Alligator mississippiensis: one gene and its partners. The protein of the gene in region 2 interacts with the protein of the main gene of each other region in a biochemical or structural test. Links are inferred from orthologs where the notes say so. Each region holds a gene or a part of one and is shown on either strand. Other genes may lie near its edges. The genes, in order: GABARAPL1, NEDD4, UBE2E1 and PMEPA1.

Region 1 (7,859 bases), on a different chromosome or scaffold from region 2:
CTTCTTCAACCTTGTAGTGTTTTTTTCCTGTTACATGAAAAACAACCTTGCTTTGTATTGTTGCAGGAAGAAAGGGAGAATCCCACTGGGAGCTTGGTTTGGGGAGAAAAATCCCTAACTTTTCAACAACAATTATTTTATTGTGTTGTTGAACAATTCTTATTGTTGTTTAGTTACAGAGAACTAGCAAGGTTTGCATGCTTGGCACAACCCTGCCAGAGTGAGGGGGAGGGTTTGGGAGGGGAAAGAGGTATCAAGTGCAGGGAGAGGTGGGGAGTCTTACCTGTCCCAGGGACTCAAAGTCCCTAGTGGCTGCTACTGCTGCTATACCAGCAGCACTGTGTCCTTGCACCCTGCTGCTAAAACAGTGCCAGGGAGCTACTGCTGTCACCACAGCAGGGACTCCACAGGGAGTCTACCATTCTGGTGTCCCCTCAGAGTCAGTGCCTGGGGCTGGAGCCCTGCCTACTCGCACCTTGTTATGCTACTGGTAGAGAGGTACAAACAGTACACTAAGGTTCATTGTGCTATGCACTATGCAAAAAACAACAAGGAGCCTGCCTCTGCCTCAAAGTCTTTACAGTCTGATTTGAGCAGACACAGAAACTGACTGTGACAAAGAAAAGGAGAGCTGGAGGAGGGAAACCAGACTAATGAAAACAAAACCACATGGCTTAGCAGTTGCATAACTAATATCCATCAGTTAGAACAGAAATGGAGTGAAAGTTTGCATCAGGAAGAAATGTCACACTTCCCTCCCTCACAAACATGTAAAGAATCAGTCGAGGAGGTACATAAAATATGACAGCTCTGTCAGTTTGCGAAGTCTTGGGGAATGGAAACTGTCTTCATCCAGAAACCAGGTGGTCGTGGGTGGAAGGTGCCTGGTGGGCCTGAAACCTGCTGAGGATTCCATCTTTATTGCCAGTTGTGAGTGCGGTTTGCTAGGTGCAGCAATGGGGGATGCACATGGTACTAACAAAAAAATCTGTTTAAACATCCTGTGTAATTTTAGCTAGAAGGGAGACAAACTGATTGGCCATATGGCTTTGCCTTCACTGCAGAGCTAACTTGAGCCCTTATTCAGCTGCTGTCCCTAACACACCTCTTGTACACACACACACACACACACACACACACACACACACTCCCTCCCTGCTGGTGTCTGATGGTGCTCTCAAGCCAGGCTGTCTGGCCCAGTGGAGATGTGGGTCAGCGCCTGGGTGGTCTTTCACTCACACCGATAGCCAGCCTGCTACCCATGAGGATGCAGGTGAAGCCACCTGAGTGCTGATAATCTTTCAGTGCCTTCTCACAATTTCCCCCATGCACTCAGAAAGACAAAATTCCCTGGCAAAGAGTCAGAGAGGGGGCCAGGTTATCACAACACCAACATATAGATGACATACCTCCAGAGGTCCTAGTAATCCACACAAGGAGCATTACAGTAACTTGGTGGAGCTTTGCCATATGGCTGCTCACTCCAAAGCAAGGCTTCAAGCAGGGTGCTCAGAAAATGATTAGGATTAACTTTGCAGTGGAAGCATAGCTTAGAGAGGCAGCTAATATTCCCAGTGGCTCATTCCTCCCTCCCATCTCCTGCTTCCTTTCCCTCAGGTGCTTAATTCTCAGCCATTTCTGCAAGCACAGTATCAATAGTAATTTAATCACCAGGCACAACAGGAGGCAGGAAATCGAACCAGGCAGGGTAGGTGATGAGTTACTGATAAATTCACAAAGGGTTCCTATTAAAATGTCACTTCTTTGGCATGTGACAGATGCTTCACCTCAGGGGTACATGTGCTGCAGTGAGGAACAGGAAAGACCTGGTGAATCAAGACATGTATCCTCCCACATAAACAAACTAGGCATTTCATAATGCAGGAGGGACATAGCACCAGCTAGCAAGGTGACATTGAACTGCACTTTGCTAAGTGATTGAAGATATATTCCAAGTTCAGCTCATGGACTTCAAAGGGAAAAGGGAGCATGTAAAGGATCTAGCAGTAGTCTGCACTGGGGAAGTTTTTTAAGTGCCTGACTTTTGGTACAAACTGGACATGACAAAGGATATGCAGTGTGTTCTTCATTTTTAATAAACCTCAGGGATAAATTAACTGTGGTTTAGCAGCATCTCTCCCATTTACTCTACCTGTATCCATGAGGCAGTGAAGACACCATGTGGGTGCTGTATCTGGGGCACACAGGAACATCATGTCTGGAGTGGGGTACCTGCAGTGCCCCAGGCATCCTCGCCACCTTGCTTTTGGAGTTGGCATGCATGGGATAGGAACAAATGGGCAGGGCTCACTGCTTTAGTATTATGACCAAGCCCCCTGCCACAGGGAAATATGAGCATGGGTCTTTGGGTTCTCTTTGTGGCTATACCATGAAGTTAGAGTTCAGCTGGGGAAAAGGCACAATCATCCATCGATGCCACAACATCCTCCGACACCCAGCAATTTATATTACCACTGATCTCACTTACACATAAAAAAAAATAAAGCTGTGCAAATCAACCTTGAAAAAGAGACCCACTGGTCTGTGGCAAGAAATGTAATGAGCAAGTTGATAACATTTTGATAGGAAAGATCCTTAGACTTCTCATTATCATCAGAGCAACAGGCAAACAAGTAAGGCTGGTGCACATGCTGCAAGACTGACAGTCACTGATCTGAACTGGCTAGTCCATTCACTCACTTTTTCAATGGGGAACAGCTAAGGAACCAGCCCAGATTCCTGGAATGTCTCTGCTGTTTGTACCTACTGAGTGACTCAGATGAATAATGGCTAGCCCATGTCTTGCTCAGAAGCTGCTCACTTCAAAGATTTCCTTTATGCAATTGGTCACCTCAATAATATGAAGTAGCTTCCGTGCCCTAATGGGATAACCTGAATTGTTGACGTGGGAATAATCCGTAACAAATAATGAATGAGGAACACTGGCTAGTAATCCCTCCTACTTGAGCCAGCAGGTTCATCCATAGATCTCAAGGTACTTAAAAACAAACAAACCAACCAACCAACCAACCTTCCCAAAAATTTAGTATCATCATCTCCAGTTTACAGAGAGGGAAGCTGAGGCCAGGGCAGTGATGTCATCAGCCTAAACAAGTCACACACACAGCTAGGAACAGATCATAGAATCGTAAAAAATTTGGGTTGGAAGGGACCTCAGGAGGTCATCTGGTCCAACCACTGCTCAAAACAGTAGATCATCCTAGCCAAGGCCTTATGTAGCCAGGTCCCAAAAACCTCCAACAACAGACAGTCCACAACCTGTAGAGCATGGTAGATCCTCTGTCAAAGCTAGAGTTCAGTACCTCATCTGCTAAGCAATAATGCCTCTTTCCTCACTCATTCTCAGACTAATTACAGCTCTCCCTAAAGCATAAAAAGCCTTCCTGATTGGCAGAGTCCCAGAAGAAACAGGGGCACCTATCCAGGCAGAGATGCATTCGGGGGCAGATTAAGATTCATTAAGGGCTTGTGCTCAGGGTCCCACCTTATCTGTGCTCTGCCCCACAGCTGCAGGCTCTGTCCCTGGCCTTCACAGCAGGAGCAGTGGGCTGAGCAGGACAGCTGCCCCCCAGGCTTGGAGCAGGAGCCACAGCCACCCCTGCCCACAGGTCTGTGCTGGCAGGAGGTATATGGATCCACTGCTCGCTGAGCACGTGCAGCACCAAACAAGCTCCAGCGGCAGCCCCTTGCACCACCGCAGCTCAGTCCAACTGCAGCAGTGCCCAGCAAGTGGCACCCAGTAGCCACAAGTGTTTCATCGGCACCGAGGCAGGGATCCCTGGGTCCGGGCACAGCTGGCCTGTACATTAATCCACCTATGGATGCATTAAAGCCCCCAGGAAGACTCACGGGCTCATAAAGGGCCATTATGCTTGGGAAAAGATTTCCCAGTGCTTGCTTCCTTTTGCCTGGCTATGCAACCGGCTGCCCTAACGGGCAGAGGCCACAGCCAACTCCCATGCTGGCACCAGGCTTCTGGTCTAGAGATCCACCACGGGGTGCGGGGGCACAGCTGGCAAGGGGAAAATCCCTCTTTCCCAGCAGCTCAGCTCAAGCCCCTGGGAGTGATTTGCTCTCCTCTTCCCCGGGAAGTTGCTGCTGGAAAAGGCTGCAGGTGCGTGACTCACACTGCGATCACAAGGTTTAGAGGGAGGGGGCACAGCCCCCGCCAGCGCAGGGGCAGGGATGGGGAGGGGAAAAAGCTACCCTATTACAGTGTGCTAAGCCCAAGGACACGCGCCTCCGGGCTCCGCCTGCGGATCCCGCCGACTCACGCCGGGCTCGGGCCTCTGGCTGCAACAACAAGGCGGGAGAGGAAGGGAAGGGAAGGTGGGGAGAGCAGAGGCATTGCCCCCCCAGCTGCGAGGCACCCAGGGACCGGGGCCAGCAGGAAATCTGGCTGCTGAACAAGGGCAGGAAACAGCTCTGCCACCAGCCGAGCTCTACAATGCCGCTACGCTACGCAGCGCAGCGCAGCGCCGTCCCGCGCAGGAGGAGAGCGTAGCTTGCTGTAGGAGTGCTTTGTAGCAGTGGAGTGTGGACCAATCCATTCCAACACAGCGAGGGAGGGCGACTTCATCCCCAAAGCATTATGGCACGGGACAAGGGGTCACGCTTGCAAGGACGGAGCACAGTCCCGGCTTCTACATGCAAATTTGCATACCAATACATAGCTATAGGCAGCGGCGCCGTTCCTCTGGCGCTGCCACATCCTTCATACCCATAGCTCCCCCCCCCTCAGTAATGGAAGTGCCCAGAACGGCGGAGGGAGGGGGGGGTGGCTTCCTGTGACGTCACAATGCCCCGCTCATTGGCCTGGCTGTTTGTGTATCCCGCGATCAGCTGGCGTTCGGGGCGGGGGTGGTTGCGGCTACTGTGCCAGCGCGAGAGCTCCGGGGCCTGGGGTATCTGGGGGCGCTTTGGTGACACAGCAAACAGGTTCAGCTGGGGGAAGGGCAGGAAGGGAGGGAGGAAAAGCCACAGAAAGAAGGAACCCAGCCAGGTCCAGCCAAAGCCAGAGGAGCGAGATGAAGTTCCAGTACAAAGAAGATCATCCTTTCGAGTACAGGAAAAAGGAGGGCGAGAAGATCCGAAAGAAGTATCCGGACCGAGTCCCCGTAAGTGCCCCCACGGCCCGGTGTCTCTGATGGCAGCAGCCGTGGTCGTGCTGTGGCAGGGTGCTGAGCTTTGTTTTACCCAGGGGATTATAGATTTGAGAGAGAGAGAGAGTGTGTGTGTGTGTGTGTATATATGTGTGTGTGTTGGGAAGGGGTAAGGATAGGACTGCAGGCTCTGCTTGCTATTTTTGTGTTGATCTGTTTTTAAATCTTCCTTTCTGTGTACTGAACCGCTTTTCTAGACCTGGATCCTAGTCATGTTACTTAGACATCTAGATCCAGGTCTATAGGGTTATATCCAGATGGAGATTTGTAGGCTTTGATGGGTTTGTACTGGTGATAGGGGGAAGCTGCCCCTCCTCCCCTCCCCCATCAGCCGCAGCACTGTGGTAGGGTAAATGCTGCTAATCTTTTTTTATGGCAGTCTGTGTGCATGGGGTTGGGGGTGGGGAAGGAACCAACCATTTGCTCTACAAAAATGGAGGAAAGCATTGGAAAGTGGAATAAGGGGAATCCTTCGCAGAAAACTACACAATGTCATTTGGGTGTCTTCCCTTTATTTCTAAATAGTGTGCTCTCTTCCAGCCCCTCTTTTCAACTCAGTCTTGCTTCCTTCTTGCCCTTGGCTCTGAGAAATAATTGAAGCAACCCCACAATTGTTTGCCCTCCTCTGTAGTCTCCTTGTGGAAAAAGCCATTGCATAGAAAACAAGGTCATGGTCTCCCCACCACACTGCGCTTCCTCATCCTTACATCCCTTTGGAGAGCTTCTATCATTCTAATTATTAATAATAATTAAGAAATGGAAATGGTGAGCAGAACTCATTAGTAATCTTTGGCCCTTTTCATTAGATGTTTTCAAAACGTTCTTTCTTTTCATCCCCACTGGAGGCCTCTGTCCTAGATTTACCATTCAGGGTACAGCTTTCTAAAACAATCTGCTCTCCCCCATGGATCCAATGGGGGGAGATGGAGCATTGAATCATACATTATTTGCAGCATTTCAGCACCCTTTTATGAGAAGTCTTCTGGTTGCACTTGCACAAGTAGGAGCACAGGTGCATGGGCAGAGCTGTGTGCGGGCCACAAGGCTGGAGCAGCAGGTGCAGTATTGTTGCTAGTCAGGAGTGAGGTGATGGCTTCCATGTCTTTGGACCAAAATTGCAGGGGGCACTAAGTCAGGAGCTGTGAAGGAGCGTGAGCACTAGAATAGCAGGCTGTGCTGAAGATCATGATGGATGTGTCTGAGAGCACCTTGTGCAGCACTAAAGACCAGAATAGCGAGAGGTGAGGAAGGAGGTCAAGGCTCAGGGACACCAACAGAGTTGTGCGGAGGATCCAGGTCTAAAATAGCAACATGTGCCACAGCTTGAGACGAAGGAGAAAAGCCATGTGGGGAGGCCTATGTCTGGAGTAACAGGAAAAGGTTCCTTTGGCTGTGATGGAAATAACTTCCTGCAAATCACTGACACAGTCATAGAAAATAACCAGAAATGGCAGACAGGGCTCCCTGCATCATCCCTATGTCTACCCTTCCTGACAGCTGAATCCCTGGTGATGACGTCCCTTCAGCTGCTTACACTGCAGTGCCCTGGTGCATCTCAGCATTTTAGCAGAGATTAGACTGTTGGCACAGTCCCACATTACAGCAGATACCGCCCAGCAGTAGCTAGATCCAGAGATGACCTGTATTTACCCTTTGATATTTCTGCCCCTCCCCTTTGTCCAGATGTCTGTCTCTGTGTTTCTACAGTCAGGTTTTCAAACCTTTGGGATCAGAACCAGTGCAGAGAGTGAAAGGAGAGGAGATAAGGTTGCATAAATGGTTTGTGAATGGTGTGGGATTATTTGGGGAAGGTGGTAGGTCTTGAGAATGGATACCTGAGCCATGTCCAGACAAGTGTGGCCGTACAGTATATGGCAGTACAGACCACCCATCTGCAATGTCACGCACCTTGCATTCAGGTGTTTTCTCTTGTGCTGGCTTGCAGTGCAGGGGGTGGGGGGTTTGGACCCTGAAGATCCAGGGGTCAAAAAACCTGTGCAGAAATAAAGCAGAGCAGTGCACACGGGGACAGCGTGTGCTCCCCAAAACTGGAGCCTGGCCAGCCGGAGCCATGATCCGGCTGCCGGCCAGGCTTCAAACTGGAGGATCATCACAGCTGCAATTTCCTTGGCCCCCAGGACTCCAGGTGCTGGCCCCAGAAGCCTTACAATTGCTGGCCCCAGCCTCCCTTACCCCACCTGGGGTAACCTGCCACACATCAGAGGGCGTATGACACAGGCATTCTTTGGGGACAACTAGCAGTGGCACAAGGTGTCCTGCTGATAGCTGTGCCCAGGGAATGAAATGTCCATGCTTGTCTGAACATGGTCCTGGTGGTATATCATCCAGAAGAACTGGCTTCAATGGATATCTAGCCAGCCAAATCTCCACATCTTCTTACCTCCGTGCAAGTTGAAATCTCTCAACCTCTGAATTGCACCACTTTCTGGGGCTTGGTCACCCCCATATTATTCCTTACTTACCCTGAGGCCTACACTCCTCTCTCCCCAAAAGTCATCTTTAGATTCACCCTCCTATGTCAAGTTCATTAGTTCACTGTTGTTTTTACAAGTTTCTCCTCTTCTTTAGTCTGGAAAATCTTAGGGAAGAAGTCATTCACTCCAATGTTCTTTCCCACTTCCTCCCAGATGGCACAGTTCCATGTAGTAATGCCAC
Region 2 (7,928 bases):
TGCTCAGGAGTGGGGTCTGTCTCTCCAGCAGTTTACCAGGCTCTCCCTCCTCCCATCCATACAAAGGAAAAAAACCACAGGACCTTACAGAGCCTTTTTCACCCTGTGACCGTCTCCTTTGCGGTGAAGTTCCTTTTTTGGCTGACTTCCACTGCTCCTTTTTGCTGCGGGTCGGCAGCCAGTGTCCCTGGGTTACTGTTACGGTTCAGAGCCTGACTGCCGGCCAGCAGCTGGCTCCTCTTTCTCCAGAGTGGCCCTTGTCTCTCCAGCTATGTCTTTCCTGGGGCTGTGTTTTCCGAAGCTTCCTGCTCACTCCTCTTCATGCCCATTTCCGATGTGCCTTCATCTCTCTCCCCTGGCCTCTAGGTCGTGCCCCAGTGCGGGTTCTGGCTCCGGCTCGGGAGCATGGTCAGAAGCTCCGAGCAGCTGTGGCATGTTCCAATCGGGACTGAGCAGCTGCTGGAAAATCACATCTCCCCTATCGTCTTCCCCGGATCCCTCATGGCTTTTCTGTCCATCTCCAGTGAGTTCCCTGCTGCTGCCAAGTCAAGCAGGGTTTTTTAAATTTTCCTCACAGTAATGTTTGATGAAGTCCTGACTATTTCATCTGATTACAGCAAATTCAGCAAACAATTCAGCATCAAATGCACCATCTTTACATGTGTACCTACAACCCTTCCCAGCCGTGGTTGTGTCATTTGATGGTGGGAAGATCTGGGTAGCTAATTATCTTGCCCCTTCCCTCCCCAACACTTGCACCCAAATCAAAGGCTTGGGGCTCTTTTCTCTGTTTAATGGGGAAAATAACCTTATCTTGGATTTGAATAAATATGGTAGATGAGCTCTAAACCAGGCATGTGAGAAAATGAAAGTTTATTAAAGCAACTCTCCTTAATCTGAATACTGGTTGGTATAAATGACTACTACTTACTTATAGAGCAGTTTAGTGTTGGAGACATGGTATACACAACTATATGACAAATAAAGTCAGACAAGGTTCTTTGGGTGAATCTGATATCTTTTATTAGACCAACTTAAATAGTTGGAAAACAATTATTAGGCAGGCTTTCAGGTTCAAAAACCCTTTGTCAGGCTAAGGAAGTTTCAGCAGTTGGTGTGTGTTCTTCCTGGATGGAATGAAAAGTAAAGAAGCCAGCAGCTGGGCTGGTATGCATGCAAGACAGGTAGTCAGTGAAAATGTAGATTGAGGAGTCAATTGGTGAGAGATGGGCTGGGGAGGGGCAGGGGAAGAGAGAGAAGGGGGATAAAAGTGGAGAGATACCTGGGAAGTCAGATGTCAGGCAGATGATAATGTGTCATAAATCCAATGTCTATATTTAGTCCATGATTTTTAGTATCCAGGAGGTTGATGAAGTTGAGTTCATAGGCTCATCTCTGGGAAGTGTTGTGTAAGTTTCCTTTGAGGATCAGGACTGAGAGATTGGGGAGAGAGTGGTTTTCTTGTGAGAAATGTGCCCCCACAGGTAATTAGGTATTTCTGTCTTTGGTAGATTTCCAGCGTGCGTTCATTCTGGTGCGCAGTTATTGTTTGGTCTCTCCTACGTATTTTCCATCATGGCATTTGGTGCATTGGATGAGGTATATTCCATTTCTGGAGGTGCAGCTGTAAGATGCAGGAATGGTGATGGCTCTGTTGTGGGGTGTAGTAATTGTGGGGGTGGTAGAGATGTGTTGGCAGGTTTTGCATTTCTTGTCATGGCACGGTTTGGATCCTTTTGGTGTGTTCTGGGCTTGAGGAAGTTTGCTTCCGGTGATGAGGTTAGCGAGGTTCGGTGCTTGTTTGAAGGCTAGGATGGGTGGCTCTGGGAAGATCTTTTTAAGAATAGGGTCTCTTTCTAGTATGGGTTGCAATTGTTTGAGGATTTTCCGTACAGGTTCAAGGGAGGGGTGATATGTCATAACCAGCGGTGTGCGATTTGTGGGGGTTTTTCTTTTGTACTGCAGCAGTTCTTTACGTGGTATCTGGGTGGCTCTTTCAAACGTGCGATCTCTCTCTCTGGAGGAGTGTCCTTGTTGGGTGAAAGCCTTTTTAAGATTGGTGAGGTGGAAATCCCGGGTGTTCTCTTCAGTGCAAATTTGGTGGTATCTGAGGGCTTGGCTGTATATCACAGCTTTTTTGGTGTGTTTAGGGTGATTGCTGGTTCTGTTCAGATATGTACGTTGGTCTGTGGGTTTCTTGTATAACGTGGTCTGTATTTTATCATTCTGGATACTGATCATCGTGTCTAAAAAGGAGACGTTGGTGCTGGAGCATTCTAGAGAAAGTTGGATGGAGGGATGGTGATTGTTGAATTTCTGATGGAACTCAGAGATCATAAGTTTTCAGTCCACATGATGAAGATGTCATCGATTATATCTTAAGTATGGCAAGGGTTTGATGGTGCAGTTCTTGAGCAAGTCTTCTTCTAGGTGGCTCATAAAAAGGTTGGCATACTGTGGGGCCATTTTGGTGCCCATAGCTGTTCCCATCATGACAAATAAAGTAGCACTGACCAGTATTATAAGTGTTGCAAACATTCCTGAATATGATATTTGAAAGACTGATCTTTAGCATTTCCTATTGACTTCAGCAGGCCAGAATTCTGCATCAAGAGCCATATAATTTTGGTCAACTAGGCCATAATGGAGGTCCTTTTTTAAATAGCTAAGTTGACTAAAGGACGTCATGACATTTGGCTTAAATTTGACACCCTAGTTGGTGAAACTACTGTCAGCTTACTTCTTCTCCCATTTTACCATAAGTATAGGGGAAAAAATATTTAAAATTGTATAGGCATGGAGAAGGGGAGGGGGAAATGTTGAGCCTAGTACCATCCCTCAGATCTTGTTTCGAAAACGGTTGCGCTCTGGTAGGTATTTAAAATGCTGTTTTTCTTTGAATTAAAATTAATAAACGTTAAGGTGCTTATAGAACCACTTTTGCTTCTGTAAAAAATGAAATCTTCCTGCTTTCCTTCAAATCTTGAGACTTGAGGAAAATAAATTGCTTGAAAACTAAACATAGCTTTCTAAAGCTGTGAACAAAAAAAAGCTTTTGGGGGTCTTTGACCTCTTTTCCTCCTCTTAATGTTCAGTTTGAAGAATTCTGGTTAGTGATACCTGAAAAATAGCTGAACTATTGTATTTTGTTGCCTTTTTTATGAATTAGCTAGCATGTATGTATTGTTGCATCTGTCAACTTTGGATAATGAAAGGGTTAAATGAGCCCAGGAGTATTATTAAAAGATAAACTTGTTTCATTTGAATAATGTACTACAGACACTTAATTACTGGTTTCTTGTGTTGGGAGAAGGTAAAATTTAATTTTATTGCATGCAGACTGAAAATACTGTAATGGTTAAGTAAATATTGAGTAAGAAAAAAAGCCATCAGTATGACCTATTAAAATATATATATAAATGGTCTAGTGTTCTCTACTGTTTGGACTTTATCAACAGCAGTAAATAATCCCATGTTAGCATGGTAGGGTTTAGCACTGCATGATGCATGGCTTCTGTATTCAGAAGTACTTTCATGAACGGACGTTTACCTCAGACGCTCGTAGTAACAGTAAGAGTGTCAATTTTAAAAACCTCCACCAGGTGCCAGCAAAGGGCCTTTTTGGTCTACATGATAAACTGAAACACTCAGAAATTGTCCAAGTTAGTTCAGTTTTACATTTTTGGAAAATACTGCCAATATGTTTTTGCTTGGTTACAGATGAATTGTTATATAAAACAATCACTTTTACATGAGCTAACTGTGAATATAACTTAAAAGTCTGCATACAATAATTGTTATAGTGTAGCTTGGAAGCCATCTCTTTCCTGTCGGTTGTACCTATTGGATTGCACACTTGTACTGCAATTGGGAGGGAAAAAATACATTGTGAAATTCAGATTTATGTCTGCTTCTGGATGAATAGCTACAAACAAACTTCAGGAGTCGACATGCCACTAAATAACCTGGCTATCTAACCTTTTTTAAATATCCAAAGAAGCTAGTGCCGATCAGGAATTGCTGGCCAACAAACCGGATATTTCAGTTTGAAATGTATGGATTAGGAAAAGTGGATGATAATGCTAACAAAGCACAGCTTTGACTTGGAAAGGGGTTGGATGTACACATTTCAGAAAAACATTTGGAACCTTGAATGGTAAATTATAAAGTGGACAGTTTTATACTTAATTTTAACTCTTCTGCATCTTGCTTAAAACAAAAAGCTAACTAAAACGGTAGAGGGCTCACCTAATTGACAATCAATGTTATGTATGATTACTGAGTAACTTTAAGATTCCTGAAATAACTTCTGTTTTTTTAACCTTTTATTAATACAAAATTGGTTAGTTTTATCGGCATATGCCAATATTCAAACTTTCACAAGTTTTTTAGCATGGCTACTATTTGGAAATTCAATGCTAGATTTGGTACTCTGTTATATGGGACTTCATTCCTACCAACTTCCTGTAATTCTAAACCTCTGGGTAAAAATATTAGTAGTCATACGCTGCTGAGGGAAAGTACGGACAAATTGACTCAGCTAGTGTAGCTGCAGCAGGAGTTGCTGTTTTAAACTTGAAGCATTAGGAGATTATTCTTGAGTTGTATTCATTTATGCAACTTACAGAAGGTATAATTGCAATACGCTTGGCAGTATTTGTCAGAATGCGGCAGCTGAGTTCAGTTTAAAGGTCGTTGGAACTCAAGTGCTTTGTGTGTATGCTCTCTGACTACAAGCAATCAGACAGTCCAGAAACTGCATTTCAGGGAATGGATGATTTATTCCAGGAGGTAATTTTTGTATAATAGTTAGTATCTTGTAGAATTTCGTACGAAGTCTGCAACCTTAATGGGCTTTTACTTTTGTGATGTACTTGAACTGGATCTAGATTCTATGAAGTTGCCTTAAGTTATTCTGCAGAAGGAGCTTTATGGTTTTCATTTGCTAACATGTGTAGAAATGAGTACAGATGGCACGAAGGTTAAGATTGCATTTTGCAGCCCGAAGAAGCAACACCGATCCACTGTCAGAAACCTCTGAAGATGACTTGGATAATAATATTTATATGCATTTCAAAAGATCTTCACAGAATTCTGCATCTAATGTCATAGAAATGAAACTGACTCCCAGGCAAGCAGTCTTTCCACCTGTAATGCAAGAAATAATTAATCAACAGCAAAGCGCAAGTGGTTCTTCGCTGCAAAAAAACAACAAAAAGAGCACTTCACTTCAGATTTCCCTGCAGTCTAGAAAGTACAGTGGATGTCTTCAGTCTGGTGATACAGTGGCTACTAATGAGGATTCATCATTCACTGGTGTCGGCAATGAAGGAAACTGTTCTGGGAGAAATATTGCTGATTATCCATCTAACATGATAAATACTACCAGCCACTTGAGCAGCACTACCATGTTGAATGGCAGTCTTGGCAGTATTGCAGCCAGTGACAATGGATCCTTCAGTAGTGCTGGCAGTGACTATGGATCATGCACAAGTACCACAAGTGATGGAGGTTCACACTGCAACAGTGTCCTTAGTGACAATAGTAGTTGCGCTCTTTCCACAGGTGATGGTATTTTTTATAATAGCATTGTGTATGATAACTCTTCGTATAGAAGAACTACAAACAAATATAATTCCTATAGGAAAGATGCATCTCAGGAATGTTTGTGTCGAAGTAATACTATTTTTGACCAAGATGGTTTGGAGCAAATGAAATTGTCAGCAAGGAGGAAAACTAAAGTTCCACTAAGACGTTGTTCATCATTGGTAATTTTCCCTCGAAGCCCTTCCAGTACTCCACCAATGTCTCCAACAAGCTCAGGTCCTCCACCACAGAGTGTGGCATATCAGACCTCACATAAACTAGTTATTTCTCCAAGTGACCTAGCACAACATGAAAATCAAACTGGTAATAAGGAGTTTCTTTCAACAGCAGTCAATGGACTTCGACTCTCTAAATCTGCTTTTTCTCCTGGTGAGGTTAGAGAGATTAGACCACTTTACTTGAATACTTCATTACAGGCCAAAAGTCAAGCCACAGATAGTTCTGAGCAGGCAACTTGTGAAGAAACATCTGATGGCTTCTCTTGTATTTCAGTTCACCTTACTCAAAAAGTATCTACATCAAGGGATGAAATGGTTAATAGTTGTGGCAGTCCAGAATCAAATCTGAACTCTAGTGCAGAGTGCCCTCATTTAAAACTGACACATAGCACATCTGCGTGTTTACCCTCAAAAAGCCATTCAGAATATCGGATTAATGAAAACGAACTAAAAAGACCTAATATTCAAATGAACAAAACCCACCATTTTCTGCAAAGAAGCATGTCCTTAGAAGGTTCTTGCCAGAAAGTTTCTTGCTATTTATCTAGCCTTAAATACAAGTGTCCTAAGGCAGGGGCATCTCACTTGCACATACAGTTTCGACCTGGGAATGAAGGAAAAACTAATGGCTTTAAAAAAAGAAATGGAATTTCCAAAAGGGAAATGTGTAACAGGACTTTGTGGAAGCCCCTCAAGGTGAGTAGTTTTAGATTAATGAAAAACTGACAGGAATCTTTTCCAGGGGAATTGTAATTAGTAAATTGTTAAGCTTTCTTTTTCCCTCACAGCATGAACACAAGCCTTTTATGAATGTTTATATTCTTGAAACAGTTTGCAATAGTGTATTTTTAACCTAACTTTCAGTTGATCTTTCCTAGTGTCTGGCACTTTTGGTGAAAATTCTTATGGTGACATGCTTCAACTTTTAAATCCTAACTCATTTCCTATTTACTTGGTTTTTCTTTCCATCTGGTAATTAGGTCTTAAAGTTCTCCTAGGGTTAGCTCAGATCTTATTTTAAGCTTTAAATGTATATGTTTAATATATAGAAATAATTTTACTGAAATATCTGGACCTAAAATGGTTAAGAATTAACTAGAGTACTGTGGAGTCCTTCAAATTTGTTTCATATAAACTTTATTTTGCAGAAACAGCTTGCTGTCTGTAGAATTAAAGATAAGTAATATTTGAACAGAGGAACTGTAAATACCATTTGTTTCTGTTACACCCTGAACCACAGGAATTTTAAGAGTTTCCTCCCCTTTTTTTCTCCAACCACTAGTTCAGCTTTAGCTGTGCACTTTAACTTAATATCTTTTCCAACAACATTGCTGTCCACATTATGGTACTTGGCTTTGGTAGTCTTTATATTTAAAAATATTATTTGGTAATAAAATGTGTTTAAACTTCAGAAATTTGTTCATTTTAATTAATTCATGATGTAGCTTTCACACACAGGCAGGTTACGCCACAAGAAATCCAGAGGTGGGTGGAGAGAGTATCATCTGCTCTTTTACGTCACTCATCTTACAAATCTTCAAACTGTACAGTGTGCTTAGTTGTAAGCCTATGCTGGCAAAAAAATGCAATAATTTGACACCTCTTGCAAAAACGCATGACCTGAAGTTATAAATAAACGCTAGTTTTAATTATTTTTGCTACCTTGTTGATGTAAGTGAAGGGAGCTGCCAGTGATTTACCAATAGTGCTAATCTGGAGAGTCAAAATAGAATTTCCAGGCAATACAGTCTTGTGGACCTTGTTTATTTCACTGTTTTCAAGGAAATTATTGCTTAGTTAGTGCCAATATCAAGAGTCCTTTTTGTACTTCTTATTAAAGTTAGTAAGCGTAAAGTGAACACTTTATGTATATGTATACATATGTGTGTTCACTTTACGTTTACATTAAGTGTACACTTTTTATATAGATATATAGATATTTGTTTAAATTGCATCATCAAAATACAATGGAACAGAATCTGTGTGTGTATTGTTTTGGAATATCTTTGGGGAGACAGGGAATGTTCATGCCAGCACTGCTATTTTAAATATTTTGTTTTCAAATATTCCTTAATGTACCTACTCTTTTGTAGTTTGACCATA
Region 3 (6,876 bases), on a different chromosome or scaffold from region 2:
ACCTCACTTCCATATCTACCCCCTCCATACAGCCAGCCTCCCTTCCTTCTCATTTGCCTTTTCTTCCATTTGTCACATGTTATGAGAACCACAGCCTATTTATATTAGGCAATTTACAATCAGCAGGCTTTACAAGAAACTTCGTTGCCACTGGCTAGGTGACTGCTAAGTAAATGTGCTCTGTTGAGTTCTGCCTAACCAACTGCCTAAACACCACAAAAGTCTGGGCTGTGACAGACCGGCATCAGCTGAGAAAGCATAGAAAAATCGACAAAAATCCAGACGCTGTTGACATCTACAGCTGGGAAGTTTTTTGCTGCTGCATGGCAAAGCCATTAACTAGACGGAATATTCTGTTTGTGGAAGAAGTAATGGAAGTTTACTTGGAAACTCCATTCTTCATGCTTTTGGGAGCATGGTGGTGGCAAATTCAGGTAAGATGAGAAGCAGAGCAGAGAGGGTAGCAGTAATGTTGTAGAAGTGAGTTAGCTTTAAGGGTCTGACTACTGGGAAAAAATGACCAGCACAGCAATTCTAGGCTCACTGTTCTAGAATAAATTTAACTATTCTGGTATGACTCCCTTCTGGGAACAATATTCTGGAAAAAATACTATGTTTTGTCTGCAGAATCATGAGTGACTGGTGCCTCCTGAATCAGGGGGGCACCCACAGAAGCCACCAGTGGTGGTGGCCCTGTCAGAGGGGGCACCAGCTCTGCCAACAGCGTTGGTGTCAGACCCCCATGAACCGCCTACCAGTCGCCTATGAGCAGAATAATTATTTCAGACTAAAGTGTTGGCTTAAGTAGTGGAAGAGTTTTTTGGGTCAATTTCCCAACATAGACAAGAACTGAATGCAAGTGACGTGGAGACAGGAAAGTAACGTTTTGATGGGGTGACCTTGTAAGAGCCCTTTCAATAGGAGAGCTCAAAATGCTTTATAAAATCAACCGTCATCCCCATTTTACTGATGGGCAAACTGATGAAGAAGTTAAACAGCCTGCTTAAGGCCACAGAGTTCAAAAAAAACCCCCAAGAATTACACTTGTATGCAATTCTGGCTCTCTATACTTATGATGAAGAAAGGGGATGAGAAGAGGAATAACTATGGAGAAGAAGGATGTTGCTGAGAAGGAATATAGACTGTGGTAATGCTTGGGAGGAGGAGAGGCTAACAGAAGCATTAATAGTGTGTAGGTGCTCTTTGCTCCGTGGAGATAGTGAGGGAGGTTGAAAGTATAATTTCCAGTCATAATGAATAGGAGTGATTAATGCTCAATAGAAGGGAGGCAAAGAGAAGAGTTGGACAAGCAAAGAGACAGCAGTGAAGCGGTGTTTTGTTGCTAACAGTCTCACCTCTTGGCGCTGGTGGAGAGGAGTTTGGAGTTTTTACTCATGCTGACTTTACTTTCCTTCTTCTTAGGCGTGTTTGTCTCTTTCTCTGTCTGTTGGTTGGAGGATGAAGATGAGGAGGAGCTGGTGCTGGCCCTCGAATCGTCATCCGACATAGCGACCCCCCCACCACACACCCCAAACCTGGAGAGGAAACACCATGGGGCGTGGGGAACAGACAATGAACACACACAGAGAAAGGAAACGGACAATCTCACTCTGTGTTTGGGTTGTGCTCTCTTTAAAGGGTCCTCCTCTCTCCCCCTCCCCAGGGGCTCCGCAGACAGGAACCTCACACAGCAGCGGTCTGAGTGCACCAGCAATATACTGGGGGAGGGGATGGACTTTAACGCCTCCTCCCAGTGAGAGGAGAGGGGCTAGGAAAAAGACGACAGCAAAGATTAGGGAAGCTCTCAGTAATTCTTTCTAATCTCCCCCAAACTACACACAGGAGACCAGTCATCACCACCCACTACTGCCCAGCCCTGATGTAAATGGGATGTCTCCAGTCCCCTTTCTGCGCTGAAAGGCACGTGGGGGGAAATGGAAGGAAGCTCAGCAGCAGCAGCAGCTGGCTACAATGGGACTGGGGTGTCACAGGCTTCCAGGGCAAGAGCCCCTGCCTCCAGCACGGGGCCATGAACAGCTTAGCTGTGTGCGTGAGGGGGCGCCCCAGTGGCCCAGAAGGGGAGGGGGGGGGGAAAATCAATGCCAGAAAAAGTGTCTGGGGTGGGGGGGAAAGAGGATTACTATGTGCAGGGGGTGGAGGAGGAGAGTGGGTGCCTGCAAGAGATGGTGAAAGAGGAGTGGTGGGGGGGAAGAGGCAGCCCACTCGGAGCCTGCAAGGGGGGGGGGGGGGGGGGGGGCTGCGTGTGAGGGGGAGCCGGCTCTGGGCCTGCAGGGGGATGCATGCCGGAGCGGGGGGAAGCCGGGGCCTGTAGAAAGCCAGCGGGGTGCTGGGGGCCGGGCGGGGGTCTAGGTTAGCCCCCTCGGATGGGCAGGGGGCCGGGGAGGCATGGGGGGCGCTGGATCGCAGCCACCCCGGCCCCCTGCCCATCCCTCGGCCGGGCCGGGGGGCGCGGGGCGACACCTGACAGCCCCGGGCGCTGCCCCTGCCCCTGCCCGCGGCGCGGAGCCCCCGGCCCGGCCCCTTCCCGCGCGGGGGCCGGGGCGGCGGGCAGCGGGGGGGGCCCGTGCCCCTACCTCTCCCTTTGTGTCTGGCTGCTCCTCCTCGGTGCGGCTGGGCCTGGCCACTCGTGTCTCTCTCGCTGGGAGAGAAGCGGAAGTGCTGCAACAGCAACTATTAAACAGGCAATGGCTTCCCCGCCTGCCCCCCCCGCCCCGCACCGCACCGCACCGCACACCCTCGCGCCGCGCCGCGCCGCGATCCCGGGGGGGCCGGGCCCGGACACGGACACGCGGGGGTCGCCCCCTGTGCACGGCGCGGGCGGGGGGACCCGCAGCCCCCGGGGATGGAGACGGGGGGGCAGGGGGGTGCTGCAAGGCTGATGCCACTCGCTCCCCTCCCCTCACCTGCTTGCAGCAGCAGCAACTTCTCCCCTGTCTCCGCGGGGCGCCGGAGCGCACCTGGCTCCGCGGCAGGTCCCCTCCTCGGACAGCGTCAGCAGCCTCGGGGGGCCCCCACCGCCGCCGCCCGGGCCCCAGGCTCCATTGTCCGCACCTCCGCGCCCGGTGACATCACGAGCGCACAAAAGAAGGGGCCGCGCGTGACGTCATCCGCGCCTGCTGCGACCGCGGGGCTCGTCCGCGGCGGGACACGAGGAAGGGGGCAGCCCCGGGGGGCGCGGGAGAAGATCGGCTGCAACTTGCCTGGTCCTCTGTCGTCTTCTTTTGCACTTCTTTCCCCCGGGGGAAAAAAAAATACCCCCCCCTTTGGCAGCCGCTGTGACTCTGGAGAGAGAGGAAGAACATGACCCGCCAGCCCTCGCACCTGAGAAGAAGGCAGCACAGTCCAGGCAGCTTGCCTTAGTTTTCCAGACCCGCTTCATCCCTCTTGACTTCATTGGGGGGGTGAATTTGGCTCAGTGGCCCTGGTTTCTACAGGAGATCGAGAGCCCCTAGGAAACCATGGGGCATCTCCAGTGGCAAGCAGGGAAAAGCCTGAGTCTTGCCACCACTGCCCATCATCATCATCATTACTGGGATGATTTTGCATTTCTCTGATCTATCTATCTATCTATCTATCTATCTATCTATCTATCTATCTATCCCATACTTTTAGTACTTGGCTGGAATGTGTGGTTGGAGCAATTCCTATCTAGAAAACATCTGTCTATCCATAGATAGATAGATAGATAGATAGATAGATAGATAGATAGGAATTGCTCCAGCCAAATACTGTGAGTATGGCTACTACCACCAACTTAATATATGTTTCATTACCTATCTAAGGCCACACAAGGAATGAGAAGACAATGCTAAAACAAGAGACCAGCTCTCCAATCCCTCAAGGGCTTTCAGGAGTGCAGCTTTTCCTGCCTTTACCTGGAGGCAAGGAGCAATACACTTCTGCAAAACAGGCTCCTAGTCTCACGTTCTAATGGCATGGCTTTGCAGAATAAAGCATGGCTGCACACAAAGGGGAAACAGGTCTTGCTGTTGGTGGGGATTGAGCTCTGGAACGTCCATACCAAAAGCTGAAGACGTATAGGGTGAAGAACTGGAACCAAAGATGTATTTTCTCTGTGCCTAGGTCTATGGTTCATTCCAAAATGGAACTTGAACTTGGATGGAGCTTTGACTTTCCCAGGAAAGTTCAGTCTCAGGTAATGTGCTAGCTCAGTACATGTAGTAATGTCTCCCTTGAGGGGTGGTCCCTTCAATGCCAAAGGACAGGGGTGTTCAGCCTTTCTCCCAAATGCAGCCCATGGAGCCTTCACATCTGGCCCACAGGACTCCCCACAGGTTGGGAACCATGGCAGTGGAGGAGCAGTGGCAATTAATGCTGCTACCCTGCCCCCGCTGCCAGAATCCCAAACCCCATGCTGCTGGATTGAGGCCAGGCCATGCCTCCTTCCCTCCTGATGAGGGCTGGGCCTACTTCCACCCACTCCCCAAATGCTGGATCTCACTACTGCATGACCTAATTTGGCCCCACTGTGTCCCCCTCTACCTTTCCTGTGCTTTGGATTGGGTCCACCAGCCAGATCCAGCACACGAACTGACTAGGCATTGGCCACCCGGTCCATGCAGCAAAAAGTTTGAGCACCACTGCCATAGGGTAATCCAAACGTTCCCATGACTCACAAACTTCAGGCTGGGCACATGAGACAGTTACACCTGTATAATTAGCCGTTACTCTAGTGTATACCACTCTATCCTGGTGTAATTTACTTGAATGTGGGGAGTTAAGTATCTGGTGTTAAGTTCCTTGTCTGGACCTACCCTGGGGTACCCTGTACCACAGGCAGATGGGCCTGCTTCTCCATTCTATTATATGTGCTTCCTCCCCTCAGTTCCCTTTTCTAACTGCTTTATTCACTTAGCCCTGAGTCTAGGACCTATGGTTACTTTTGCAAGAATTCTGCCTCTTTGAGGCTCCCAAATAAAGAAAAGGTGAAACTCCTTTTGCCTTTTTTAAAAGACTTTTTATAGTTATCATGTTATGATTCATGGATCGTTAGGGGCTGGAGTTGACATGGAAACGGTACAGGAGGTAAACTAGCTCCTCATGGGCAGTTCTTTTAATAAGGACTTGCTAGTGACCACAATGGTAAACTGATAAAGGCTGCATCAAGTATGGTAATTCTTTGGCTAATCTTTGCTGGCAGCCTTAAGGACCTTCCTTAGCCAATGAAGGTAAGGCCGGCGTTGATACAGACTTCCCCTTCCATGTGGAATTTGCAACCAATTCATGTTATGTGGCTGGGGCCACATGCAAAAACTGAGCACTACCGATTCAAATGTGCCCCTCCACAGAATGTCACTCATGTCAATCCCAAAGTCACCTGTGTGCTAGACAGGCTTGGAATCTGTTCACTTTTATGGTTGTAAATTTTACATCAGAATTAATGAATTATGAACCCAAGATTACAGAAAGAGTCATTTATACTAAGACAATAAAGCCCATAGCCTTTAATTTCCTGTATTTTTTTTTTGGTGCCCTTCACTTTGAGTCTTTGTCATTTGTTGTGTTCCATATTTTGTCCTTGGTGGATTTGGAGATAAGTCCTTTCTGAGCCACTTTTTAACAGAACAAATACTTCTATTTTTAAAAGAGAATCTTCACTTTCACTGGAAAAAAGTAAGGTTTGAGTCCCTTTCCCTGCTTAATTAGCCTTTAACGACAAGAACCAAAGTGAAATTAAACTAACTGAAAGGGCTCCACTTCTACAGCAGAAGGCTTGGAGATCCTTCCCCCAACACACACACAAACACACACATACACACACACACGTAAAATTGATTAGTTAAGAAGTCAGAGGTGTATTCTGAAGAATCATCTCTATGGAAATTATCACAATGCCAGCCCAGTCCCATTCACAGTAATCATTGAGAAAGCTGGTCACATTTTGGAGGAGGGAAGGTTTTGTTACCCACCCAAAAATGTGTTTTCAGTCCTCTCTGAGTGCACTCAGTGTTGCCATGACTGCAGTAACTACAGCAGTAGGAATTTTCATTTTATCTCACCAATGGTTGCCTCTAGGTGTGAACAGAGGCAGTTCATAGTTCTTACAGTTCTCCACAACCAGGCGTGCCAGATTCTCTAGCAATACACGAGGAAGTGAAACAGGAGAAACAGGGAGAAAAGAAGAAGCAAAGGTGCTGATCCACTGAGTGAAATCCCTGCAGCTCTAGAAGCCTACCTTTTTGTCTGCCTTCGCAGTCCTGGTCTGGAGATCACAGAACTGGTACTGGAAAAATACTTTATCCTTCATCCACCAAACAGGTATGACTGGTTTTTCAGCCAAAATTCCTATGAATAATTTGGGGAACCACTCCAGCAACAGTGACAGTATGATCTCCAGAAATCAGACAGCTCCTCCACTTAAACAGTTATTGCTGTTCCCCCTCTCCTTTTGGTTTCTGTAATACGTTTTGCTCCATTTTGTACTGTTCTCCCTACAATCCTTTTTCTTTTAGTCTCTTTTCCCTTTATTTGCTGTTCTTTCTTCTCCTTTTTTTTTTGATCAGGGCCAAAAAATAATGGAGGAAAGATAGCTCAAATTATTCACTCTCATTTTGCCCCACATTTCTTAGCCACATGGAGTTGTCTAAAGGCAGTAACTGGATAGTAGTAGACATTTTTTCTCTCAGCATCAAGCTTGGAGAAGACTGCAACAATACATTACAATAATCTCATTTCCTTGGGGCCATTGATCTGAATGCACATAGGAATCTGGCCAGTTCAAATTCACGCTAGATCTTCTGCAAAAGGAAGATGATTGGGATTAATCAAAGTCCCTTTGGATCGTGTCACTAGATACTTTCTTAGAATGACTCCCTGCTGCTCAGTTTGGGTGAG
Region 4 (6,960 bases), on a different chromosome or scaffold from region 2:
ATACTCGTTTGTCACCTGAAATAAGAAATGCACAGAAATATTTTAGATGAACTTCACAGTTAACCCAATTAGAGGGTTAAATTAAAAGAAAGCAGTTTGCACCTATGCTACTATCTTGCATCAGTCCTGTGCTAGATTCATACCTGCAAAATTAAACGGAATCTCGTTTTACCTGTTCTCAGACCCCATCCAAATAATTTTTCAAAACTGAGTCATGCTGCCCCCCGCCATCTACTTTAAACTAATGAATCTAATGGACTCTCAACTCTGTCCTTTCTGTTAAATCAAAGTAAAAAGAAGCATTTGTGTAGCCAGCCCCACTGCAATATAACCACTCTTGCTTCGTAGGAAATAACAACTAATTTCAGCAAAGGAAGCTACTGCCAAATACACTGACGTAAGATAGTGGTAAAAGTTTTGAAGGCCTACTCCAAAGCCTAAGCCAAAAGAAAACTTACCCACTTTGGGTCAGGACCATGATGTTAACTAGCTGATTGTGTGGTGCAGAGATTTGATAGAGCAGACTAAAGAGAATAGGGTCTCGTGGAGTAGGTTCTAGCTTTTTTAAAGGAAGAGATCCTCCAATAGGTAAGTTTTTTCTTGGTTACACATACGCACACCCCAAAATCAGCACCTATTACTAAGCCTTTCAGACACTGCAGGAAATCTAGAAATGGATAGTATTTCTAAGAAGTCAAGCAATTAAATTAAAAGATCAGACTGTTCCAATAAGAAACCTGTGCCAAGGATCAGATTGGAAGAAGAAAGACTGTTTCTTCAAAAGACAGAGTGGATGCTAATTCTTCAAAAATATTCCACTTTGATATTATCACAGTTCTGATCAGACCTAAACTAAAAAAAAAGTTTCTCAGGTTTATGTCATGGGATAACAGACTCGTTTACATTCACTCCCTGACTGGCATAAAAAAAAAGAAATCTGTATCTTTTAATTTGTAGAGCTCTATTGGTATTCCTATCTAGCATGGCCTGTTAAAGTCAAGAAAGAATAATGGTCTATTCAGTACTGGTAGTGTTAATAAAATCAGGCAAATCCAGCTTAGCTTTGTCTGAACACGAATGAGATTAAATCAGGATTAAAAGTGCATACAGTACAAAGGCTATGGTTTATTTTACAATTCAGGTTGAACACGTTTTAGTACCCATTCTATGAATGCCTATAGATTTTTTCCAAAATCCATATATAACCAAATCAACCCAAAATATGGCTGGCATAGTTGATGGCACAGGATTCAAGGCTTTGACTATCCGAAATGCTAAAGACCAGAGTTGCCCTAAAACACAGCTCTGCAGCCTCAAACAACAGACCCAATCCTAAGGTGTCAATGGGAATCGGTGGCATTAAATAGGGTTCAACTGACTTTCACATGCTTACATCAGGAATGAATTTGCCCTATTGGGGTGTTAACAACAGCAGGATTATGCCCAAGTCTCCACTTTGCGCCAAACGCACTAGCACACAGAGGTTACGACTGCGCTGCGTGGTACTGGATGTCGACCCAAGTAGAAATGAGCCCTCTGGCTGCAGAAAAGCCACACAGGCTGAGACGCTTTGAAAATAATCAGGCCCAGGCAATGCATTTTTAAAAATAGCCGGGGAAGCCAAATGACTTCCCTTAAAAAGAAAACTCCGTTTCCATTTCTAGGTAGTTTGTTAGGGTGATCCAACACAGAAGTACAGGCTATTTGGGTCAGACAATGCTCTCACTGATTTTCCACGTTTGCAGTTTAAAATATCATTTTTAAAAAAATGTAACGAGTTTTCAAAATATTTGCTCCACTTTTGCCTCCAGCCCTCCAATAATTGAAGGCGTATCATTGAAATGGAGCGGTTAATTAAGATACCTAAAAGCAAGGCTCAAAGTGTTAACAGCGCTAACCTTATGGGTCAAAATCTCCTGAGCATCACTTCAGCCGAAGTGAGAAACGTAGTCTATTTGGAAGAGCAGACAGTTAGAGCAGACAACTAAATTAACAAGACTGCCTCGGTGTCAGCCAAAACATCATTACGGCTGATTAGCTGAGGGGAAGGGACGATATAAAAAAAAAAGATGAATTGGAAAAGGAAATTTTACATATGCTGAAAAGGAAACGTTACATACACTGAAGGGAACAAGAGGGGCGAGGATAACCCTCGTGATATAAACCCCTCACAACTCTGCACGGGGTCGGGCAAAAGCGATTTCTGAGCCCGGCGGGTCCCTCGCCCGCGGACGCAGCGCGGTCGTCCCTGCTCATGCCAGGATGCTCCGGCACAAAGATGCTGAATCCCAAGCAGCAACAGATTAAAGATCAGGATGTGCACAGACCGGACAAGCCGCTTAACAGCGACGGCTTTCTTCGCCCCTCGCGGCAGTCTGGCAGGCGGGGAGCGACCGGCTACAACTTTACTGCGATGTGGGGCGCACGGAGAGCCCCACTCGCCTGCTCGCCGGCCACGCGTGACTTTTGGATCTCGCACAAAACTTTCCTCCAAAAGACACCCGCGGCCGCCGGCGACTCCGGCTGCGAACCGGTGCCTCCAGGTGCGGGTTAGGGAGGAGGAGGAAGGGGGGTGTCTAGTGCCCCAAATCTCCTTGCTCCGGCCCTTGAGGAGAGGCTGTGGCAGGGCCCCTGCCACTAGCTGAGCCCCCCGTGCTCGGCCAGGGCTATTTATAGCCGCCCCCCTCACACTCACACTTACACACGCACTCGCACCCCCGGCCCCACTCACTGATCTCCATGCTCTGGAACAAAGAGCGCTTGCAGTTGCACGTGCAGGACACATTGGGCTGCAGGGCGATGCCGGCGGTGCCGTTCAGCCCCATGAAGTTATACATGGGCGAGGAGGCGGCGGCGAGGCGAGGCGGCGGGGCCCGGGCCGCCCCGCATGCAGGCAGCACGGGCCGGGCGGCAGGAGCCGAGCGGGCCAGGAGCGGGCAGGCAGCCCCCTGCGCCCGCGTGCAGCGCGCTGGAGCCGCCGCCGCCGCCAGCCCGGGCACTGCCCGCTGCCTCCGCGCCCGCCTCCGCCGCCGCCGCCACCGCTCTGCGCGTCTCGCGCGGCCCCAGCAAGATCCCGGCCCCGCCCCTCCCCTCCCGCCCGCCGGGGGGAGTCGGTGTCGCTGGGGGGAGCAGACAGACGCGCTGACGTCAGCGCTAGACTGGGACTGCCCTCGCCACAGCCCCGCCGGGCGGGGGGTAGGGGTGAGTGACAGCTGCACGGGCCAATCACAGCGCGCTCTGCCCTCGCCCGCCCCGGGGGGACGCGTTGTCTCTTAAAGGCGCCGCGCACCTGGGAGGGGTGGGGGGAGGAATGGGTTGCGCGCCCCCTCCTCCGGGAAGCACGGGCCTCGGGAGTGAGTGCGTCTCAGCGGTTCACAATCTCCCTTAGGCGTGCCCCCCCCAGCAACACACACATACACACACACACTCTCTACCAGGAGCATGCAGACACCCCCAGCAACCCTCCTCCTTTACACTCACACACATGCACACTCTCAGGAGCACACCCCCCCAGTAACGCTCCTTCTTTACACACACGCACACTCTCGGGAGCACACACCCCAGCAATCCCCCTCCTTCACACACACACACACACACACACACACACACACACACACACACACACTCCCCTCCAGGAGCATGCACACCCCCCCCAGCAACCCTCCTCCTTTATATACACACACACACATGCACCCCCCCCCAGCAACCCCCCCTACTTCAAGCATGCACACACACACACACACACACACCACCCAGGAGCATGCAAACCCCCCTCAGCAGCCCCCCCACCCCCACTGGAGCACACCCCCCTCCTTCAGGCAGGCAGGCATGTGACCACACTCCCCCCCCATGCATGCAAGCCCCCCCAGCAGCAGCCCCCCTCCTTCAGGCATGTGTGTGCGCACACACACACACACACACACCTCTCCCTGCATAGGGGGAGATGAGAGGGGCTCTGTGGGGGGGCGGGTACGATTAGGGCCGGTGCTCAAGGGCAGGGGACCAGGAGCTGGTTGGGAACCAGCAGCAGCTCATCCGGTGGGAAGGTGTGGCAGGACTTGCCCCCGGAGAGCCCTTCCCAGGCTCTGCGCTGTGCTCCCGCCCCAGCCACCTGTGCAGACCCCCCTCACCCCAACCCCAGTGAGGCCCTTCCACAGCCAGGGGATCGCAGTCATGTCCCCGTCCTTGTGGCTTCTCCTGGGGGCAGGGGTCTCCCTGCACGTTGCCCCCAATAATCCACCCCCTTCAGAAAGCCAAACTCCCTCTACTGCCCAAGCCGAGGGGCTCAGACAAGCCACCGTCTGCTCTAGGACAGTTTTCTTTGCAAGGATCTGCTGACCCCGTAGCCTGGCTGCATAACAGCATGGCTTGCTTTTCCCCACTGCCACGGCTCCTCTCCACTGCAGCACAACTCAGGCCTCTCGGCGCCTGCACAACCGGGCCATAAACAGCCTGGCGTTCGCTGTGAAGGCTGCGTGGTGCCAGAGGACCCTGCTCCGGTTCCTTTCCTAATGTGTAAATGCACCTTGTAGTGCATCCAACCTCCCTCTTTAGTGCTGGGAATGAAATACCTTTCCCCATGAGGACCTCTCCCCACGCTGCACGCAGCAGGCTGATGGCTTTGTTCGAGTGTCATTGCCCAAACTCTCCTTTCTTGGTTCTTGGTTAATATCACCAAACTCTGTCTTGTGAAGAGAAAATCGTTTCAGACTTCAAACCTGTAAAAAAAATAATAATTTTTTTTCTTTTTTTTAAGGCCCCACTGCATACCAATCTCCCACTTGAGAGATGCCTTGAGAAAAAATGCAGCCACAGCTTAATTTGTTGTTTAATTAGCCCCATGTACAGAAGCAAGTCTGGCACGTCAGAGAAGTTGTGTTAGAACCTTGCAATGTGCCAAACTACGTTATGATATGGCTGGGTCTTGCATGCTCATGCAAGATTAAAACATCTTTGACTAGATTGTGCAAAGCCACGCTGCCAGCCAGCAACCACCAATTTGGAAGCCCTTCGAATTTGGGATGCCCAGCCCGTGCACGTCAAGGAGTTCATTGCGGGCTCAGCGCCTTTGAAAATCGGACCAAAAACGGGTCTGTTCAGACACTTCAAAACTGATGCATGCCAGATCAGTGGCCGTGTTTAAACCTGTTGTCCTTAACTCATTCAGGGTTTTAACACAGTGCTATAACATGGTTTGGTCCCTTCTTCAGAGAAAAACTCACTGGTTGATAGCATGGTTAGGACACTACAGTATAATGAGCTCCTTCTGGCTTTGTAGATTTACTCCTATGGACAGTTGTACACGAGGGGCTGGAACGCAGAGGTGTGGAAAATAAAAGCTTCCTTGAAGTCAGTGGGGGCTTTGCTGTTACCCCCGCAGAAGGATCAGGCTCTGAATGAATTACAAATCTCAATCTTGCCCACGGTCTGCAGTGCAAGCCATGACTCTGTAACACTTACAAGGTTGACAGAAATGGCGAGCAGTGTTGAGTCTGTCAAGCATTATGGTGCCTTTCCCAATCCTTCTGAATGGGAGCTGCTGCGACATCAGAAATTCTGTTTCTCTCTCCAAATGCACCAGAAAAACCTTTTAGGGCTTGATTGCCCTGATTGCTAAGCAGATTTTGCTTTTTCAGCTGAACTAGCATTTGTTTTGCGTGCACAAAATTCAAAAAATATTCCAGAAAGATAAACTTCTATTTTTATTTAATTTGAAGATGACCAATCCCATTTCCTTTTTAGGCAGCTATAAAGGAAAAAAAATCTTCACTCCCTCACTGAGTGCTTATGTGCCAGGTTTTATTCAGGAGTGATTTTTTTTTTTCTGCTGAGAAATAAACCTGTGAAAATAGGGGTTTATAATGAAAATGCTGAAACAAGCTTAACTATAGTGGTGCGAAGAAGCTGCTATAATACTTGGTGAATCCTGTTACTGGGAGATAAAGACAGCTTCAGTTATCTTCTAAGAAAGCATATTTTCCCATAATTCTTGATAGCTATGATTTAGTATTTGGAAGTCGTTAAAGGGTCTTCAGTTGGGCCAACACTCCCTAGAGATGCTACCATGAATATAGTGCTAAATAAGGATAAAAGCTATGAACAGCATATGTAAAACCAAAATCTCCTGCAAAGTCATAGAAATCATGGAGGGTGGAGAGTGTCTCCAAGTCAAGCCTAGTATTATTTATTGGAAAGTCTGAAATTTTATTTCCTCCCACAGAAAATGGGATTTTTAAAAACTTGATTATTTATAAAAATGATTTTAAATGAGTCTGCATACTTCTCAGAGGCTGCTTTAGCACCATCAACCCCTAAGGAAAATGCCTAGCGAAAAGGATCATGTTATCAAAAGGTTAGTTAATCTTTATACTGTGTCATCCACTAAAAGTTACCTCCAACAATTACTAATTCAGTGTGAAGAGCGGGGGATATACTGCATCTTGTAGAGCAAAGCAGCTTTAAGAGGTTACATTGTGGTTTCTAACAAGTGTGGGTCTAAATGGATATGAATTATTATAGAACCAGAGATGGCCAAGGAAAGTTATCTGCCAGCTGACTTGACCTTCCCTTCCATAGTGAAAGACGTATTTGAATTCATGGAAAATAATATTGAACACAAAACTGTAAGGAGATAGCGCCTGCAGTTAATATCTATTGCTGGGAGTCTGTAAGGCAGAGGTGTTTTATTTCTCGTTTTAATGCAGATTTCCTGTATGACTTCACAAATCAGGGAGCCCAAATTTTTCACACTTTGGTGGTGACCTAAATTAGGCACCTGAGTGTGCTAGTAAGTCTCAAAATTAGAGGTACTGAGCACCCACAACTGCGGCTGAAGTCAGCGGAAGCTGATGAAGATAAGCATCGCTGAAAATCACACTGTTTTAGGTGTCTAAATATGGTTGCAAGTGCTTGAATTGAAACAGCCTACCTGGAAATAAAACACTTGACTTCTGATGCCAA

Evidence for each region.
Region 1: the proteins of NEDD4 (region 2) and GABARAPL1 form a complex in vitro, tested with the Homo sapiens proteins (2 studies listed by BioGRID and IntAct). The link is inferred for Alligator mississippiensis from reciprocal best matches to the Homo sapiens genes NEDD4 and GABARAPL1.
Region 3: the proteins of NEDD4 (region 2) and UBE2E1 form a complex in vitro, tested with the Homo sapiens proteins (7 studies listed by BioGRID, with this or other methods). The link is inferred for Alligator mississippiensis from reciprocal best matches to the Homo sapiens genes NEDD4 and UBE2E1.
Region 4: the proteins of NEDD4 (region 2) and PMEPA1 form a complex in vitro, tested with the Homo sapiens proteins (2 studies listed by BioGRID, with this or other methods). The link is inferred for Alligator mississippiensis from reciprocal best matches to the Homo sapiens genes NEDD4 and PMEPA1.

Annotation. Positions count from the first base shown.
Region 1 is NC_081827.1:146,477,963-146,485,821, reverse strand, and holds the start of GABARAPL1 (gamma-aminobutyric acid receptor-associated protein-like 1), read left to right. Parts: upstream 1-4,844; 5' UTR 4,845-5,048; coding exon 5,049-5,138; intron 5,139-7,859. UniProt on the Homo sapiens protein: Ubiquitin-like modifier that increases cell-surface expression of kappa-type opioid receptor through facilitating anterograde intracellular trafficking of the receptor. Involved in formation of autophagosomal vacuoles.
Region 2 is NC_081834.1:25,833,951-25,841,878, reverse strand, and holds the start of NEDD4 (E3 ubiquitin-protein ligase NEDD4), read left to right. Parts: upstream 1-4,913; 5' UTR 4,914-4,970; coding exon 4,971-6,521; intron 6,522-7,928. UniProt on the Homo sapiens protein: E3 ubiquitin-protein ligase which accepts ubiquitin from an E2 ubiquitin-conjugating enzyme in the form of a thioester and then directly transfers the ubiquitin to targeted substrates. Specifically ubiquitinates 'Lys-63' in target proteins.
Region 3 is NC_081828.1:148,073,148-148,080,023, forward strand, and holds the start of UBE2E1 (ubiquitin-conjugating enzyme E2 E1), read right to left. Parts: upstream 3,010-6,876; 5' UTR 2,925-3,009; intron 2,660-2,924; 5' UTR 2,595-2,659; intron 1,769-2,594; exon of another isoform or gene 1,610-1,768; intron 1,536-1,609; 5' UTR 1,508-1,535; coding exon 1,356-1,507; intron 1-1,355. UniProt on the Homo sapiens protein: Accepts ubiquitin from the E1 complex and catalyzes its covalent attachment to other proteins. Catalyzes the covalent attachment of ISG15 to other proteins. Mediates the selective degradation of short-lived and abnormal proteins.
Region 4 is NC_081832.1:9,061,399-9,068,358, reverse strand, and holds the start of PMEPA1 (protein TMEPAI), read right to left. Parts: upstream 3,002-6,960; 5' UTR 2,838-3,001; coding exon 2,732-2,837; intron 1-2,731. UniProt on the Homo sapiens protein: Functions as a negative regulator of TGF-beta signaling and thereby probably plays a role in cell proliferation, differentiation, apoptosis, motility, extracellular matrix production and immunosuppression.